4 linked regions of the Arabidopsis thaliana genome follow. The protein of the gene in region 1 interacts with the protein of each later gene in a pairwise test. Each region holds a gene or a part of one and is shown on either strand. Other genes may lie near its edges.

Region 1 (3,611 bases):
ACATGTACATCTTTATCATATTGAGGATTAAAATATTATGTATGATTTTCTTCTAAATACCATTCGAAATCAGTGACTTTTAGATTTTATTTAAAATATTTTACTCGTTGTGCTATTTGTACCGGGTACTTTTACCAAAAGCTTATCTAAAAAAGTGGTAAAGATTTGGACAAAAAAGTCAGAACCAACATTACTTGAATAACGTTTTTTCGTAGAGTGAGTTTTGACAATGAGCAGTGTATTAATGGGAGAGACTCTTTCAGTGCAGTGGAAATTGTGGTTTCTGAATATAATAGGTAATTATGGTGACAATAATTATAAGTATTAGTATTTCCACTACTTTTAAATAGACAGCATATTTCCACAGCTTTAAGCACGCTCCTCTGATCGAAATTTCGCCTCGTGGATTTTGCAAATAGTGTTACAACAATTACCACCGGATTAAATATGATTTTTCTCATATTTAAAAAAGAAAAAAATGTGGTATAGTAAGTCATGTTGCATTCTTCAGAAAAAAGTAAGGCATTACAAAAATGTAAGGTCGTCCAGTGAGATGGTGGAAGATAAGCTTCATTGTCCAGAGAGAAGTAGTTTGGAAATAATTTTAATTTATGATATATAATGGATATATATGTACGTAAAATAATTAATTGTTGAGATATCAATCCGAATGAAGATGTAAGATCAACATAAACGAAGAAATCCGATATGCCGATCTTTGAAAGTATGGTTTGTTAATGAGTTTCAGTATTATTAATTGGATCTAGATATAATTTGGAATTAATAAGCTTCTGGGGATTGGTTGGCTACTAACGACGGTTTATGAACCATCCCGTAGCTGTAGTTATCAGTTGCAACGATATTAAAATAAAGGGACAAGAGACGAGTTTAAATTAAGACCAATTACTTTCAAGTTCAAAAACCAAGCTTAACTAATAACTACAATAACCAGTAAAATATTTTGGAGAAGTGAGAAAGGAACTGACAGGTAATATTCGGTTTTTATTTGGTGGATCTGTCATTGTCAATTTCGGAGAAATTACCAAATAGAAAAATAAAAAATGTAACAATATTCATATTTTTTCTTTTTAGTTTGTTGATCTCTCCAAGACTCCAAGTTAAAATCTCCAAACGAAGCAATACAAATCTTACCTTTACGAGCACAAAGTCGGATTTATGCGTTTAACGTCATGATGATTAGTAGATGTTTTGTGGTGGTCAAGAATATAATATGCAAACAATTAATGATGGGTCTAGAAGAAGTTAATGTTGTAACAATGAATACTCGTCAGACATTTTGGAAGAGAACACACAAAAATTAAATTTTTGTGTGTCAAAAAGTCAGTCCTCTCCTTAGCGTTTTCCTTGCGTCCTAATAATGCGAAAGGTAAAAGCGTCATATTTATTGGGTCCACGTATAGATGCGAAAAGACTCGTTCTAAAAACTCAAGCCCAAAAGACTTTTACCGGGTCGGATATATCATTGATTACAAAGGATCACTAAGTCAACAGAAATGACTTGACCAAATCGATCTTATGATAGATAGACACACGACACAAACTCTCTTTATATAAATCTCAAGAAGATTCTTATATGTGAGTCCAAAGAGCAAAAAGGAAGAAATAGAAACCAAAGCCATGGAGAAGATGATAGAACCACGGGACAACACAAGAGAATCAGAAGATGAGGATGCGTTAAAGCTTCCAGGGTTTAGGTTTCATCCGACGGATGAGGAGCTTGTAGGGTATTATCTCTCTAAAAAAGTGCTTCTCAAAAAAACGAGCAAGATTGATGAGATCGTCAGCCAAATTGATATCTATAAATTTGATCCGTGGGATCTTCCAAGTAAGTTTGTTTTACTCACTCTTGCTTTTTTCTGTTTTTTGCACTCCAAACCATGCAAACACAAATAGAAAAAAAATTAGGTCTAACTTTTATGAGAAAAACAAAAGTAAAGTCGTGTATGCATGTTTGTGAAGTAAAATTAACACATAAATTATTGTTATAAACTGATGATCAAACATAATTTTTGTTTGAAGGGTCGAGGAATACAGAGAAGGAGAGCTACTTCTTTTGTAAGAGAGGAAGGAAATACAGAAACAGCATAAGACCGAACCGAGTGACTGGTTCCGGTTTCTGGAAAGCCACAGGGATAGACAAGCCTGTCTATTCCGATGGATCCAACAAAGCCGTGATCGGTCTAAAGAAGACACTCGTTTATTACCTAGGAAGCGCCGGGAAAGGAAACAAGACGGATTGGATGATGCACGAGTTTCGTCTCCCTACAGCCAATGACACAATCCCCGGTGGCCCTACACACTCTAACCCTACTCCAACTTCCTTGCTACACGCGGTAAGTTTGCTATCTCTTGATCATGATCATGCATGGTTGGCCACTATAAACGCTTCACATGGCAAAAATACATAGGGTTTGAGAAAGAATGCTCATGGATGGTTCTTATTAACTATATAATTGCAGGAAGTATGGACGTTATGCCGGATATTTAAGAGAACTGTGTCTAGTCGAAAATACACTCCGGACTGGAGAGAATTAGCAAATGGCAAACGTGTGAAGCAGCAACAATCTAATTACCAAGAAGCTTATATAAATTTTGGGGACAATGAAAGTAGTAGTAGTACCAACGTGATGAACGTTAGGGAAGGCAAAGGGAACTACGAGAGAAGCGTTTTCCAGCTTCAGCAAACGCCTTATCAACATCAAAACCAGCCAATTCTCATGGACACCACACACGTTGATTCGTTTCAACATTTCTCCAACGATAACATTCACCATGAAACCTACGAGACTTGGCCGGACGAGCTTCGATCGGTTGTGGAATTTGCTTTCCCACCTTCTTTTCTTAGTTAGATCTCTAGAATAATTAACAACTAATATGTATACATATTACATATTACTAGCTTGGACGTGTTGTATCATCAGATCTCTACTGTATACATGGATCGTGTGTATATGAATATGCACCTGTTTGAATTCTCAGGTTGATCCACACGTATATAGTATGTATTAATGTCAATTTAATCTCGGGAACTATTTGCATATTTTGTTTTATTAGCCCTCTTATTTTATGTTTTTCGGTTAGACGAATAGTGGACTTGTGGTCTTGTTATCTTTAATAAAGTAACAAAAGCGTTTAAAAAAACATTAAGAAGCCCACAAAGGAAACAAAGCCCATTAGGTGGAGGAGATGAAACGATGGAACTTCTTGTCTTGTCACGGATGAGAGAAATATTGGAGAGAACCATTGGAGAGAAAGCAGAGTTACTTGCCAATTTCGAATTCTGAGAGCGAAGAGCCGAGATTCTGTTTGTAGTTTGGATGATGAATACGATTGTTCATGTTCCTTTTATCTCCAGATTTCGTAAATTCGTCAATTTAAGAGACGATTAGCTCAGTTTACAATCGAGTCAGTATATATCGAATTAAACTGCAGAGGTTTTGGGTGTTCCCGAGACATGACTAGGATATGGTTCAATAAACAGTTGGAATTGGCGTGAAAATTGTAGATAGGTTAAGCTTTATACTTCAAATCATGCAATCGAGTAGTCTGATATCATTTTACTGACTGATTCCACTGGTTATCCAGTAGCC
Region 2 (4,796 bases), on another chromosome or scaffold:
GTAAGTCTGCTCAAGTCTTTTTTCAATCTGTACTTTGGGACTGTTTGTTTGCTATAGAAATGGATTGAGAGATATGATATTGAAATGGAAATGAATTTTCAGGAGGAGTTGGAGATAACGTCGAGATTGTTAGGAGAGAGAGGAGGTTATAAAGGAACAATCGTTGTAGTCAGAAACAAGATGACCGGGGAGATTATAGCGGAAGGTCGACATTCTATGTTTGGTAGACAAGCTAGTAAGCTCTGAGTCCAACTTTTAAGTCTTGTATCACTGTAATGTCTGTTTTCAATAATAAGATTATGGTTAGGTAAATTTGGTTAGGTCCTTTGTTCTTTCTGGTTGTGAATCTAAAACCTTGGTACATAGCTTATAAAGATCAAACCATTCAGTAACTGTGATAGTTATGTTGATGAGGATGGTATGATATGTCTCATCTATACAACATTGAAAGCTGTTTAAAGAGGAATTTGAAGAAGCTTCAAGAGAATTTTGTTGTCTATGGTTTCAGCTTGGATTTAATGTGTATGTTGGATTATCAAAAATTCAAAATTATAATGTCAACAAGAGTCTACAACTACTGTAACAATTCTCTTCTCTTACATTGGAAACTAATTTTAAATAGCAGAAGCAAAAAGTCAAAATGTAGATATGGCCGGAAATTCGCACTACATTTTAACTGACAACGGTTCCTATTGAGACGAACCAGTAGTAACAGCAGCATCAGCAGATTGCTGAGAGGATCCTGAAGGTGCTGCAGACACAGAGTCAGGTGGTGGAGCAGAGACTGAACTTGGATGTGGAGGATTAGGCCTTGAACCGGGACCTGGTTGTTGTGGGTAATCATGATCAGCTTGTTGTGAATGGCCATGGTGGTAAGGAGGATACTGCTGGTAAGGTGGTTGCATATATCCTCCATATGATGGTGGCGGGTATGGCTGGTGCTGAGGATAGTGGCCATGTGGTGGCATAGTGTAAGAAGAAGAAGAAGCTCCTCTGTTGTCACTGGTGCTTGAACCGCTTTCTTTGGACGAACTAACTGCACCCATTCTCTGAGGGTCCATTGATGGGTAAAATGGTCTGTCTTGATGAGGAGGTTGTGGTGGTGGTGGGTGCATATAGTATTGTAGCATTGGTGGAGGTTGATTCTGTTGCTGAGATATAACTGCTCGAGGTAGTAAACCACTATGAGCCACACTGCCCTGTTGGTTAGAACCATCTTGATCAGGTTTGGGAACCTGAGGTCTTCCCCATGTGAGTTTTAGCCTCTGACCGTTGACAACTAGCCTGTTACTGAGCTCTTCTGCAGCTTTCTCTGCTCCTTCTCGGGTTGTGTAAGTGACAAACGCACATGCTTTCTCAGCCAAGATTCTGATGGATTCGATTTCTCCATGGGCGTAGAATTGATCACGAATGTCTTGCTCAAGGACTCTCGAGTTTAGCCCACCAACATAAAGCGTTCTGATGCTTTGATCCTCTGGAGATTCCAAAGTACCCATCTCCCCAGCCTTGCCAAGTAACTTCAACGCAACTGGATCGTTTACACTGCAGGAAGTGAAGAATAAGATGAGAAAACAGTTCCAATATCACCAAAATAACAGCCAGTTTACGCACACAAACTGATGTATTTTTCATAACTCTCTTTCATGATATACCAAAGCAAGAAATTGAGGAGTAACTCAATATTATCATACTCAAACAAAATGAAAGTTAGAAGTATGCTTACCCATAATAACGGTCTTTAATGTTCTGCTGGGATAACTCTCCTGTTTCAGGCATCTCATGACGGTATGGACACTCATCACCTCTTGTACACTCTCCCCTAATGAAGAAACTACAAATATGAGCTCGGTTCCTTTTGTAGTAAGGCGTTGTCCTTTGAAGCATACGAATGGTATCGTTGGGCCGAATCTTCCCAAAAGAAGACTCATAATCTAGTCCAGCTCTCGTCTACACAAGAAAACAAAACCATTTCAATAGGCCATTACAAAGTAGAGAAACTGTATAGCCAAATCTCAAACCAATCAATACTCAAATAATATAACTAGTTAGAACGCAGAGTCACCATACCTTTCGATCATGCTCTTCAGCGAAAAACTCTCGGTTCACATCACTTTTTGGGATAGAATCATGAGTACTAATGTTGAGCGCCGTGTCTCTGACCTGAACTGGAAGACCATACTCAAGATCCAAGAGACAAACTTGGCACACATTCTTCAACTTGCAACATGTCTGACAAACTTCAGTCTTCTTGTATCTCGCATCCCTACCAGGTCGCCATCTGAAAACCGTGAAAGGCCGGGTACAGATCTTACACTCTTTATCGTAATTCGCCTTTGTCTACATACCAAACAACAACAATAAATCAATCAATCAATCAAACATGAAGCTGCACATCACTACCAGACATAACATGAGACAGTATTCAATGAATTACATTCCCTCTAAGCAAATTTGATCAGAACAAACCAAAGATATCATTTTGAACTACAACTCCATGAATTCTGATTTTTACCAAAGGTTATGAATTGTATATTAAATCGCTTAAACCCTAAAATCTCAAATCACTAAAATTGCAGCTTCAACACTAAGAAACATAAAAGCATTAAACAAGCTCGAAAATGGACAAATGAAAGGAGATCTTAATAAAGACACATGAATGTTAAAAAAAAATCTAGCTAAAGGCAAGGAAATCGAATTTGTTTGAGGAGAAACATAGGAAGCGAAGAATATACCATTCTCACGTAAGGATTGTCACCGAGACAAGACTCACAGATGATTGGGAAATCAGAACGTTCCCATCCATCAGCCTCGTGATCTCTCAGTATTCTATGCGCCATTTCCTAATTCTCTTCCTTCCTCAATGATTTCTGGATTTCTTCTTCAGTCTCGAACACGAAGATTACCTTGAAGAGCAGATTTGCTCTCGTTTCGATTTTTTCGGGAATCTTTAATATTACAGCTGCTGTTGGGCCGAATGTTTGTTTGGCCCAATTTAAACCCATGAAATAAGAAAGCTTAAAGTGATGGTGGTGTACTGAAATAAACAATACGGACTCACACAGATGATAATTCATCGTCACACACAGGCGGGAACAAAAATACCCTAAAATCGCTAAATGGCGCCACAAAATCTCAGCTTATAATATCACTTCCCGCTAACAATTGCAATCTCCTCCCAGAAATTTCAACAGCTCTAAAAACCCTAACCGTTTCGATTCACACTCTAACCTTTCGATAATTTCCCAGAAGATGTTGGAGCTTCGTTTAGTTCAAGGTTCTCTACTGAAGAAGGTTCTAGAAGCGGTCAAAGATCTGGTGAACGATGCGAACTTCGACTGTTCGACCACAGGGTTCTCGCTTCAAGCTATGGATTCGAGCCATGTCGCGTTGGTGTCTCTTTTGCTTAGATCTGAAGGTTTCGAGCACTATAGATGCGATAGGAACCTCTCTATGGGAATGAATCTTGGTAATATGTCTAAGATGCTGAAATGTGCTGGAAATGATGATATCATCACCATCAAAGCTGATGATGGTAGCGACACTGTTACTTTCATGTTTGAGAGTCCCAGTAAGTTCTTCAAATCGATTTTTGTTTGTTAGGGCTTTGGTTTTGTTGTCAATGTTGATGCTATTGGTGACCTGATTCTGTGTTTATAGGTTTGATTTGCCAGAAGCTAGAATATGATTGTAGAGAATGATTCAGTCCATTTCTTGAAAGCTTTAGTTTGTAAGAGATGAAAGAGAAGATAAAATCTATGTTAATAGAGGGTTTTTGGTTTGGAATAAGGTTTGATATGGCTTTGTTTTTGTGTAGTTAATGATGTTATTAGTGATCTGAACTGTTATTTATAGGTTTCATTTGACAGAAACTAGAACTTGCTTGATGAGAATGAGTCCTTCCATTTTTGTTTTCAGAATAGGTATAGTCTCTAGCTTAAAGACTATAGTTTGAAAGTGAATAGAGTTTCTTGATTTAGTGAAAGTTAACAGAGGAACTTTGTTTGATATTGACTATGTGGTGTTAATCTCATTATTTAAATGGTGTTGATGATGCAGCACAAGACAAGATTGCAGATTTTGAGATGAAGCTGATGGATATCGACAGTGAGCATTTAGGAATTCCTGATGCTGAGTACCACTCGATTGTGAGAATGCCTTCTGGTGAATTTTCCAGGATATGCAAAGATCTCAGTAGCATTGGTGACACAGGTAAATGAACTGTTTGTTTATTTGGTGTATCACTGCGAGGATTCTCTAATCATGATTCTGGTTTTGATGTTATGATTTTGCAGTTGTGATCTCGGTAACAAAAGAAGGGGTGAAGTTTTCAACAGCAGGTGATATCGGGACAGCAAACATTGTGCTCAGGCAGAATACTACCGTCGACAAAGTATGAACAATCACTAGTCATCTAGAGAGATTTGTTTAATAATCTGTCCAATACAATGTTGAAGTGACCTTATGTTTGTATGTGTGTTTTGCAGCCTGAAGATGCTATTGTGATAGAGATGAACGAGCCTGTTTCGCTTTCATTTGCATTGAGGTACATGAACTCCTTCACAAAGGCTACTCCATTGTCGGAAACTGTGACCATCAGTTTGTCCTCTGAGTTACCGGTCGTGGTGGAGTACAAGGTGGCTGAGATGGGTTACATTCGATACTATCTGGCGCCTAAGATTGAAGAAGAAGAAGACACCAAACCAGAATAATGATGAATGTTTGATAGTCTTCGTTCGAGTCCTTTGTTGAAATGTCTGTCTTGATTCAGTTGTTTTCTGGATTTACTATCTTAAGGC
Region 3 (3,260 bases), on another chromosome or scaffold:
AAATTTCGGATACAGTGAGACCTCTGAGTATAGAGCGAGAAGGAGAAGACGGCATATACAGTAAGCTGCATATGATGGCAACGAATGGATTTTGATTATTGTTCCAAGACTAGTTTGATCCATCAAAGCGAAAGTTCAAGCAATTTTGCTTCTCCGTCTGAAAGTCAAAGGAAGAAAGGTGAGAAAGATAAAAAAAAAGTTTCGTTGAGGAATTTCATCGAACATGTGGTGAGCGAAACATACCGTATACAGACGAAACATGGAAGTATAAGTACATCTAGAGAAACATAAAAGAGATAAGACAGATGTCATGTAGGAAGAAAAAGGAAAGAAGACAGTGATTCGGAGACAGTATCGACGGAACCGGACGAAGCGAAAGTAGGAGTAGCCGCGCGTGAAGGTTATGTAGAAAGAGACTCCTTTTTGACATTTATTCAATGTTCTGGCATGTGCTCAGATGATTTGGGCCGCTTGTTTAGATTTGTCCACTTCCAGACCCATTGCAATTGTAACCCATTTTAGCCCACTAAAATCTGACTGTAACAACTTTATAAATTTATGGTTTTTTCAAAATATTACCAAGGTTAAATAAATCGTGTTAGATGAAGTTGGCACCAGTTTTTGATATTACAAAATGAGGTCACTAGTATTTTTTTTATAAGAACTTATAATAAGTAATTTATTAATTGCATTATTTCATTAATATTGATTTTATATATACTGATACACTAGGGTTTTTATAAACATTTAAATTGTCTAAAATCGCATAGACCAACCGAGTAGGTGTGAATATTTATTGTCAGATATCAATAATCTGCTAGACGTTTCTAAAAACATCTCTAATCGTAACTTACCAAGTTACCTTTGAGGTTTCTTCTAAATGAGTCGGTGACTATGATAAGACGGTGTATCACATCACAATCAACTCCCAAATGTCAGTGTCGAGAAAAACCTAATCAAGTATCAACTACAAAGAATTGGTTATGCATCCGAAGGATGAAAACACATTAAATACATTATGAGACTGGGTTTCTCCGTGGATGATTCGTGTTTTGGATGTGGTTGTGTGTGAACTAAAATTTGACAACCATGTACATGAGTCAGCAGACACAGAAGAAGACAAAAAATAACTTTTTCCAGTTAGTTTGGGCTGTTGTGTCTGTGTGTTGTCCGTGGAGAATCATTAAGTCATTACAGATCTTTGGTCAAATGCCAAAAATAAAGGACCCCCTTTAGACGGTGCTCATGTCACGCATGACGCAATTTGTAACCAAAAAAGGCAAAGAAAGTCTTTCTTTATCCCACGTGGTTTAACCATCGACGACGACGTTTTCACATTCTTCATCGGTGGAGTTTGAATCGACTTTTGTGTTTTTCACTGCTTTTCTCTATACTATTATGTCATCACCTATTTTACAGATTTTTATGAAACGAAATAGAGGATATATAGTAGTATAAAATTCTAGATTTCGACTTAAGACTTTTTCATATAAAAAAAAATGAAAAACCTATAAATTAAGGTAACCTAACTATGATATACCAAAGCAACAACAACAAAAAATAAAGATTAATTTTCTATTTTAAAAAAACAAAAAATATCATTTATTTTGAAACCAAACAGAACGGTATATATACCACTTGTTTTATAGAAATGACTCTTACTTTCTAAATACATTGAATTTACTGTTAGACACAGCAAAAAAAAAAGTTACAACTTGAAAGAAAAAAAAATCGACTAGTCAGGCACATGTCAAATTGGTACCACTAAAAAAATGGGTCATACTTTGACCAGTTGATTTTTTCCTCGAGAATTAACTAGTTTTATAATTGGTCAACTTCATTCTCATTCTTGATTCATATTAAAAAATATTATATAATATTTTGACTTTCACTAAACTTCAACGTATAAATAGTCTTTGTATCTTCATATTCAAACATAAACAACACTCAAAAGTCTCTTCTTCTTCTTCTTCTTCTTCACATCGATCATCATACAACAACAAAAAATGGATTACAGAGAATCCACCGGTGAAAGTCAGTCAAAGTACAAAGGAATCCGTCGTCGGAAATGGGGCAAATGGGTATCAGAGATTAGAGTTCCGGGAACTCGTGACCGTCTCTGGTTAGGTTCATTCTCAACAGCAGAAGGTGCCGCCGTAGCACACGACGTTGCTTTCTTCTGTTTACACCAACCTGATTCTTTAGAATCTCTCAATTTCCCTCATTTGCTTAATCCTTCACTCGTTTCCAGAACTTCTCCGAGATCTATCCAGCAAGCTGCTTCTAACGCCGGCATGGCCATTGACGCCGGAATCGTCCACAGTACCAGCGTGAACTCTGGATGCGGAGATACGACGACGTATTACGAGAATGGAGCTGATCAAGTGGAGCCGTTGAATATTTCAGTGTATGATTATCTGGGCGGCCACGATCACGTTTGATTTATCTCGACGGTCATGATCACGTTTGATCTTCTTTTGAGTAAGATTTTGTACCATAATCAAAACAGGTGTGGTGCTAAAATCTTACTCAAAACAAGATTAGGTACCACAGAGAAACAATCAAATGGTTGTGAATATACATTATAAGGTTTTGATTAATGTTTGTTTCACTGATTTAGTGAAGTTTGGTCCATTGTATACAAATCTATTCAAGAAACCTAGCGCGAGATCATGTTTCGTGATTGAAGATTGAGATTTTTAAGTATTCGTAATATTTTTGTAAAATACAAATATGTTTCTGATCAGCTATTATTCGATACGAAATACATGGGCGAAAGCAGGCGTCCTAATTGTGATGCTTTCGCCCAGTGAAAGACTCCGACAAATCTACAAGAGTTCCTCCAAGTACCTTATAGCTTAAGTCACTGATTTCTCTCTCAAGTGTCATTTGTAAAGTCTCTGCTTATTGAATGTTTCTCTTCTTCAATCATTCCATCAAGATTGTCCGCCAAATTGCTTTTGGAGATCCGTGAAGGATACGGTGGCTGAACCTCTTCGTTTGGCCTGCGGGTGAGACGAATGTTCTCTCCATCCTGTCATGTAAATCACCTACACAAGAATGCCAAACGATATATACTTTAGGCCTCAAATGTTGTTAATTTCACTTGTAGTATTTAGCATAAAATTGTTTTAATCATGGATTGTAGCAAAACAACTTGAATAATGAAGCTAGGTTATGGGTTTTTTTCACTGTTGAGTTAGTTCTGAACTATTATGGACAGACCTGAAAAGTAGCGGGTATAGTGCCGTCCTCTGTGG
Region 4 (4,602 bases), on another chromosome or scaffold:
TTAAACTAATATCAATTTCTATGAAATATCTGTAGTGCAACCGTCAAATAAAATAAAAATGATACGATTCATTACCTAAATGAATCCAACCCAACCCCTTTTCTGAAACTATTGGCTATGTATGGACCGAATCAAGCGGCACTACATTTTTAATATATCAAAAACCAAATCGTTGGTTTGGTCCGGCAATACATTTTAACATTTTCTGAGTAATCAGAGTTTGTACTGTTTAGTTAGGATGGGGACAGTCGCAGTGTACCGTGTACGAGAGAGGTAGGTGACCAGAATTTTTTCAGTTTCTGTCGAATTTCAAGAATAACCCTAATTCTTTTTTTTACTAAATCAAATATAAAGTATATTATTATCCCATTCTTGGATGTGGGACCTACTTCCACTACTTCTCAAACAACCCGCTCTCTTTGCTATAAACAGAAATCGCATGACCCAACCGCTCAACAAGGAAACTTATACAATTAGTTTGATCCAAAATTGTTATTTATTTAGAAAAATTTAATAGAAAAGATTGAAATATAAACATATATGAATGAAATGAATTATTTATATTCAATACAGTCCATGTTATTTTTTTACCAGATTCTCTATTATACATCTCTTCAAGTATCTAAATATTTTTCTTATGGATGAATTTTTATTTTATCATTTTATGTTATCGATTATACACAAAGAAAGGAAGTGTTAAATTAGATTAATTAAGTGAGTTGTCGATATACATTACAGGAAGTGTTTGAGATAGAAACTATTCTATGATGGTTTAGTTGTTGAACACAGTTTACTTATAAAATTAGAAAACCCAGGGGTTTAAGTATTTATACTTCTATTTAACTATGATATACATACATAAGTTTTATCAATGCCATGTACAACGTATAGATGAATCAAACTAGATGATGTGATAAATAATTCCATGATTGTTGATGATAAGGTAGTTAATCATCCATAAATTAAAACTGAACACTTTTTATATACAAAACATATCCATTTAAACCGTGCATTAGTATTTTTGGTTCTTGTATTAAGTCGAAGAGTTTTTTCAATTCGAGTATATAATAAAATACGATTGCATAAACATAACACATATTAAACATGAGATTAATTATAGAAGTAAAACATACATCTAAGACAAGAAAATAGTTTCGCGTTAAAATACTTTTATCAATTACAATTTTGTATTTGGGATATTTTTATCCAAATTTTACTAAAATGAAAGGAAAAGGGTAGAAATGGGAAAGAGCAAACGGGGCTACTTGGTTTGTCGGTGTGAGTTAGTGGAGCCCATATCATATTGGTCAGAGAGAAGATCGTATTTGCTGATAATGACGGAAATACCCCTAAAGTCGTTGAAAAGACCTGAGAGATTCGGCAAGGGACCCATCTGTTGATTCTTCTAACCAACCTTTATGTTTGGCCACAATGATAAATCACATGCTCCAACCAAAACAGCCCCCAAAAAAAACCCAATTTATATTTTCTTAAAAGTGAGCTTATAACGTAAAAGAAATATATACAATGCTAATTTTCTTACAACTGGTTAAGTGTTAAAAGATATGTTTAGGATCATATTGGTATTTGGTAATCAGGTTTCAACATTTGAAATGATTAATCAAAAAATAAGTTGCATAGAAAATGATTTAAAAAATGACTATAAACAAGAAGTAATTTCACAAACCATGTAACAAATCAAAACCTTAATAAATCATGCATCAAAGTTGGATTAGAAACATAGCTTAATGGATTATATACAACATTTTCGTTTAAATTAGACACCTAGAATATACATGTTATCCAATAATTTAACTTTGCCATCTTTTTACCCTTATTGTATTGTGTGTCTCCATCTACAAATGTCCGTATATTTCAAACACAGAGAGGGAGAGAGAGACTCTTGTTTAAAAAACTTACTTCTTCTCCTGAAAATTGAGAAGACAGACGTAGAGAAGAATTAATTGTAACAAAGGTTCTAATTTTCCCAGCTCTGATTACTCATTATCTTACATCTCTTTCTATCTATTGTCAAATTCAAACCCTTAACCCAATGTTTAATCTTTTGGATCCTAACAAACATTTCTATGGTTTCGTTTCCAAAATTATAAAAGAGCTAACTTTTTTTGAAATTAGTTTCAAATTTTTGGTTTTTCTTCTTCTTAAAGATTGTTGAATGTTACTTTTGATTTGCAGGTGTTAAAGAATCATCTAGAGTACTCGTTGAACCATTTCCATGGAAGGTAACAAAATTTCATTATTTGGTCTAATTTCTCATGAAAGTTGCTACCTTTTTCGTTCTGGAAGATCTAAATTAGTGTTTGAGTTACAAACGCAGAAGAAAGAGAAAGCCTTTACGAGGAAATGGGTTGTTTCGATCCCAACACTCCAGCAGAAGTTACGGTGGAGAGTAGCTTCTCTCAAGCCGAACCACCACCACCACCACCGCAAGTTCTGGTTGCCGGAAGCACAAGCAACAGCAACTGCAGTGTTGAGGTAGAAGAGCTCTCTGAATTCCATCTCAGCCCACAAGATTGTCCTCAAGCTTCTTCAACACCTCTCCAGTTTCACATCAATCCTCCTCCTCCACCACCTCCTCCTTGTGATCAACTCCACAACAATTTGATTCACCAAATGGCTTCACATCAACAACAACACTCTAATTGGGATAATGGGTATCAGGATTTTGTGAATTTGGGACCTAACTCTGCAACAACTCCTGATTTGCTTAGTCTCTTACACTTGCCTAGATGCTCATTGCCTCCTAATCATCATCCTTCCTCTATGCTACCTACCTCTTTCTCAGACATTATGTCTTCTTCTTCTGCTGCTGCTGTTATGTACGACCCTCTCTTCCATTTGAATTTCCCTATGCAGCCTAGAGATCAGAACCAGCTAAGAAACGGCTCTTGTTTACTTGGAGTTGAAGATCAAATTCAGATGGATGCTAATGGAGGAATGAATGTTTTGTACTTTGAAGGAGCAAACAACAACAATGGTGGATTTGAGAATGAGATTCTTGAGTTTAACAATGGAGTTACTCGTAAAGGAAGAGGATCAAGAAAGTCGAGAACTTCCCCTACAGAACGTGAGAGACGAGTTCACTTCAATGATCGTTTCTTCGACTTAAAGAACCTCATTCCAAATCCCACAAAGGTATATACTTTACTTTGCTTTGATTTCAATTCATGTTGTTAATGTGTATGAGGAGACTATGAAATGAGAGACATTGTTGGTTTAATCTCTGTAGATTGATAGAGCATCGATAGTTGGAGAGGCGATAGATTACATCAAAGAGCTTTTAAGGACAATAGAGGAGTTTAAGATGCTTGTGGAGAAGAAGAGATGTGGGAGATTCAGGAGCAAGAAGAGAGCTAGAGTTGGTGAAGGAGGAGGAGGAGAAGATCAAGAAGAAGAAGAAGACACTGTGAATTACAAGCCACAGAGCGAAGTAGACCAGTCTTGCTTCAACAAGAACAACAACAACTCACTGAGATGTTCATGGCTTAAGAGGAAATCGAAAGTCACTGAGGTCGATGTACGTATAATCGATGATGAAGTAACCATCAAGCTTGTTCAGAAGAAGAAGATTAACTGTTTGTTGTTCACCACCAAAGTTCTTGATCAGCTTCAGCTAGATCTTCACCATGTTGCAGGTGGACAGATTGGTGAACATTACAGCTTCTTGTTCAACACTAAGGTAATGAAAATGTCTCACTAATATAGTTCTGTTATTAACTCCAAACCAATAAACTAATCTTTTTCAATTTGGTTTGAGGCAGATTTGTGAAGGATCTTGTGTGTATGCAAGTGGAATTGCAGACACATTGATGGAGGTCGTGGAGAAGCAGTACATGGAAGCTGTTCCTAGCAACGGCTACTAGATTCCAGACACACTTATGGAGTAGTTTATTGCTTTTTAATAACTTTTGTGATACCCCTCTAATGACTGATTAAGTTATTAATCACTTTGGTAATTTTCAAGTTTATTTAGCTAGAGTTAAAGTTAGAGCTAGAGCTGAGGCTCTTTGTCTGGATTTTGTCTAACTCTATATATTTCTTCTAGCTTTATCGGTTTCGTTTTTCGACCACATTTTAATCTCTTGCGTTTTTTTTTTTAACAAATGCTCTTGCTCATATTTACCTTACGTTTCATATTGCTCTTAATGGGCCAGTGGGCCGTGTCGTTTGAAAAGTTTGAGAATAATCATCAGTCCGGAATTTATAAACCATTGCTTCTTTATCGATTCTGGTTTTCTAACTAGAAATTAAGAAACTTGCTTACATTTTCAGTGGTTCTTTTTACAATGAGCCAATTTTAATCTGGTTCTTTTTACGATTTTTCATTTACCGTTGAATTACGTGTTTAAGCTTTTATTTAATAATGTGTACTATCAATTAGGCTTTGACAAAACAAAAAATGTACTATCAATTAGTGAATGTTAATTTGTTTTAGATCTAAAACAAAAAAACAAGGATGTGATTTTGTCTCAACGCTCTTGTCTTTGCTCGTTGTCTGTCACCCTTTTTGCTTATTCCCTATTTCGAACACGTTCATGTGTATTTTTTTGTTTTGAAGTCTATTTTCACATTTAAAATAAA

What was found.
Region 2: the proteins of AT3G12910 (region 1) and MAC5B interact in a two-hybrid assay, tested with the Arabidopsis thaliana proteins (one large-scale study listed by BioGRID).
Region 3: the proteins of AT3G12910 (region 1) and AT1G22810 interact in a two-hybrid assay, tested with the Arabidopsis thaliana proteins (one large-scale study listed by BioGRID).
Region 4: the proteins of AT3G12910 (region 1) and AT2G31220 interact in a two-hybrid assay, tested with the Arabidopsis thaliana proteins (one large-scale study listed by BioGRID).

Annotation. Positions count from the first base shown.
Region 1 is NC_003074.8:4,107,779-4,111,389, forward strand, and holds AT3G12910 (NAC (No Apical Meristem) domain transcriptional regulator superfamily protein), read left to right. Parts: upstream 1-1,596; 5' UTR 1,597-1,638; coding exon 1,639-1,846; intron 1,847-2,040; coding exon 2,041-2,354; intron 2,355-2,480; coding exon 2,481-2,870; 3' UTR 2,871-3,071; downstream 3,072-3,611.
Region 2 is NC_003071.7:12,650,052-12,654,847, reverse strand, and holds MAC5B (CCCH-type zinc fingerfamily protein with RNA-binding domain-containing protein), read right to left. Parts: upstream 3,023-4,796; 5' UTR 2,838-3,022; coding exon 2,733-2,837; intron 2,338-2,732; coding exon 2,068-2,337; intron 1,948-2,067; coding exon 1,724-1,947; intron 1,543-1,723; coding exon 690-1,542; 3' UTR 512-689; downstream 1-511. Other genes in the region: AT2G29590 (Thioesterase superfamily protein), read left to right, coding at 103-246; PCNA2 (proliferating cell nuclear antigen 2), read left to right, coding at 3,250-3,568, 4,057-4,209, 4,293-4,390, 4,485-4,709.
Region 3 is NC_003070.9:8,073,716-8,076,975, reverse strand, and holds AT1G22810 (Integrase-type DNA-binding superfamily protein), read left to right. Parts: upstream 1-1,938; 5' UTR 1,939-2,006; coding exon 2,007-2,441; 3' UTR 2,442-2,745; downstream 2,746-3,260. Other genes in the region: AT1G22830 (Tetratricopeptide repeat (TPR)-like superfamily protein), read right to left, coding at 1-55; AT1G22800 (S-adenosyl-L-methionine-dependent methyltransferases superfamily protein), read right to left, coding at 2,937-3,050, 3,226-3,260.
Region 4 is NC_003071.7:13,300,778-13,305,379, forward strand, and holds AT2G31220 (basic helix-loop-helix (bHLH) DNA-binding superfamily protein), read left to right. Parts: upstream 1-1,888; 5' UTR 1,889-1,975; intron 1,976-2,196; 5' UTR 2,197-2,236; coding exon 2,237-2,243; intron 2,244-2,295; exon of another isoform or gene 2,296-2,338; coding exon 2,339-3,156; intron 3,157-3,250; coding exon 3,251-3,700; intron 3,701-3,782; coding exon 3,783-3,884; 3' UTR 3,885-4,092; downstream 4,093-4,602.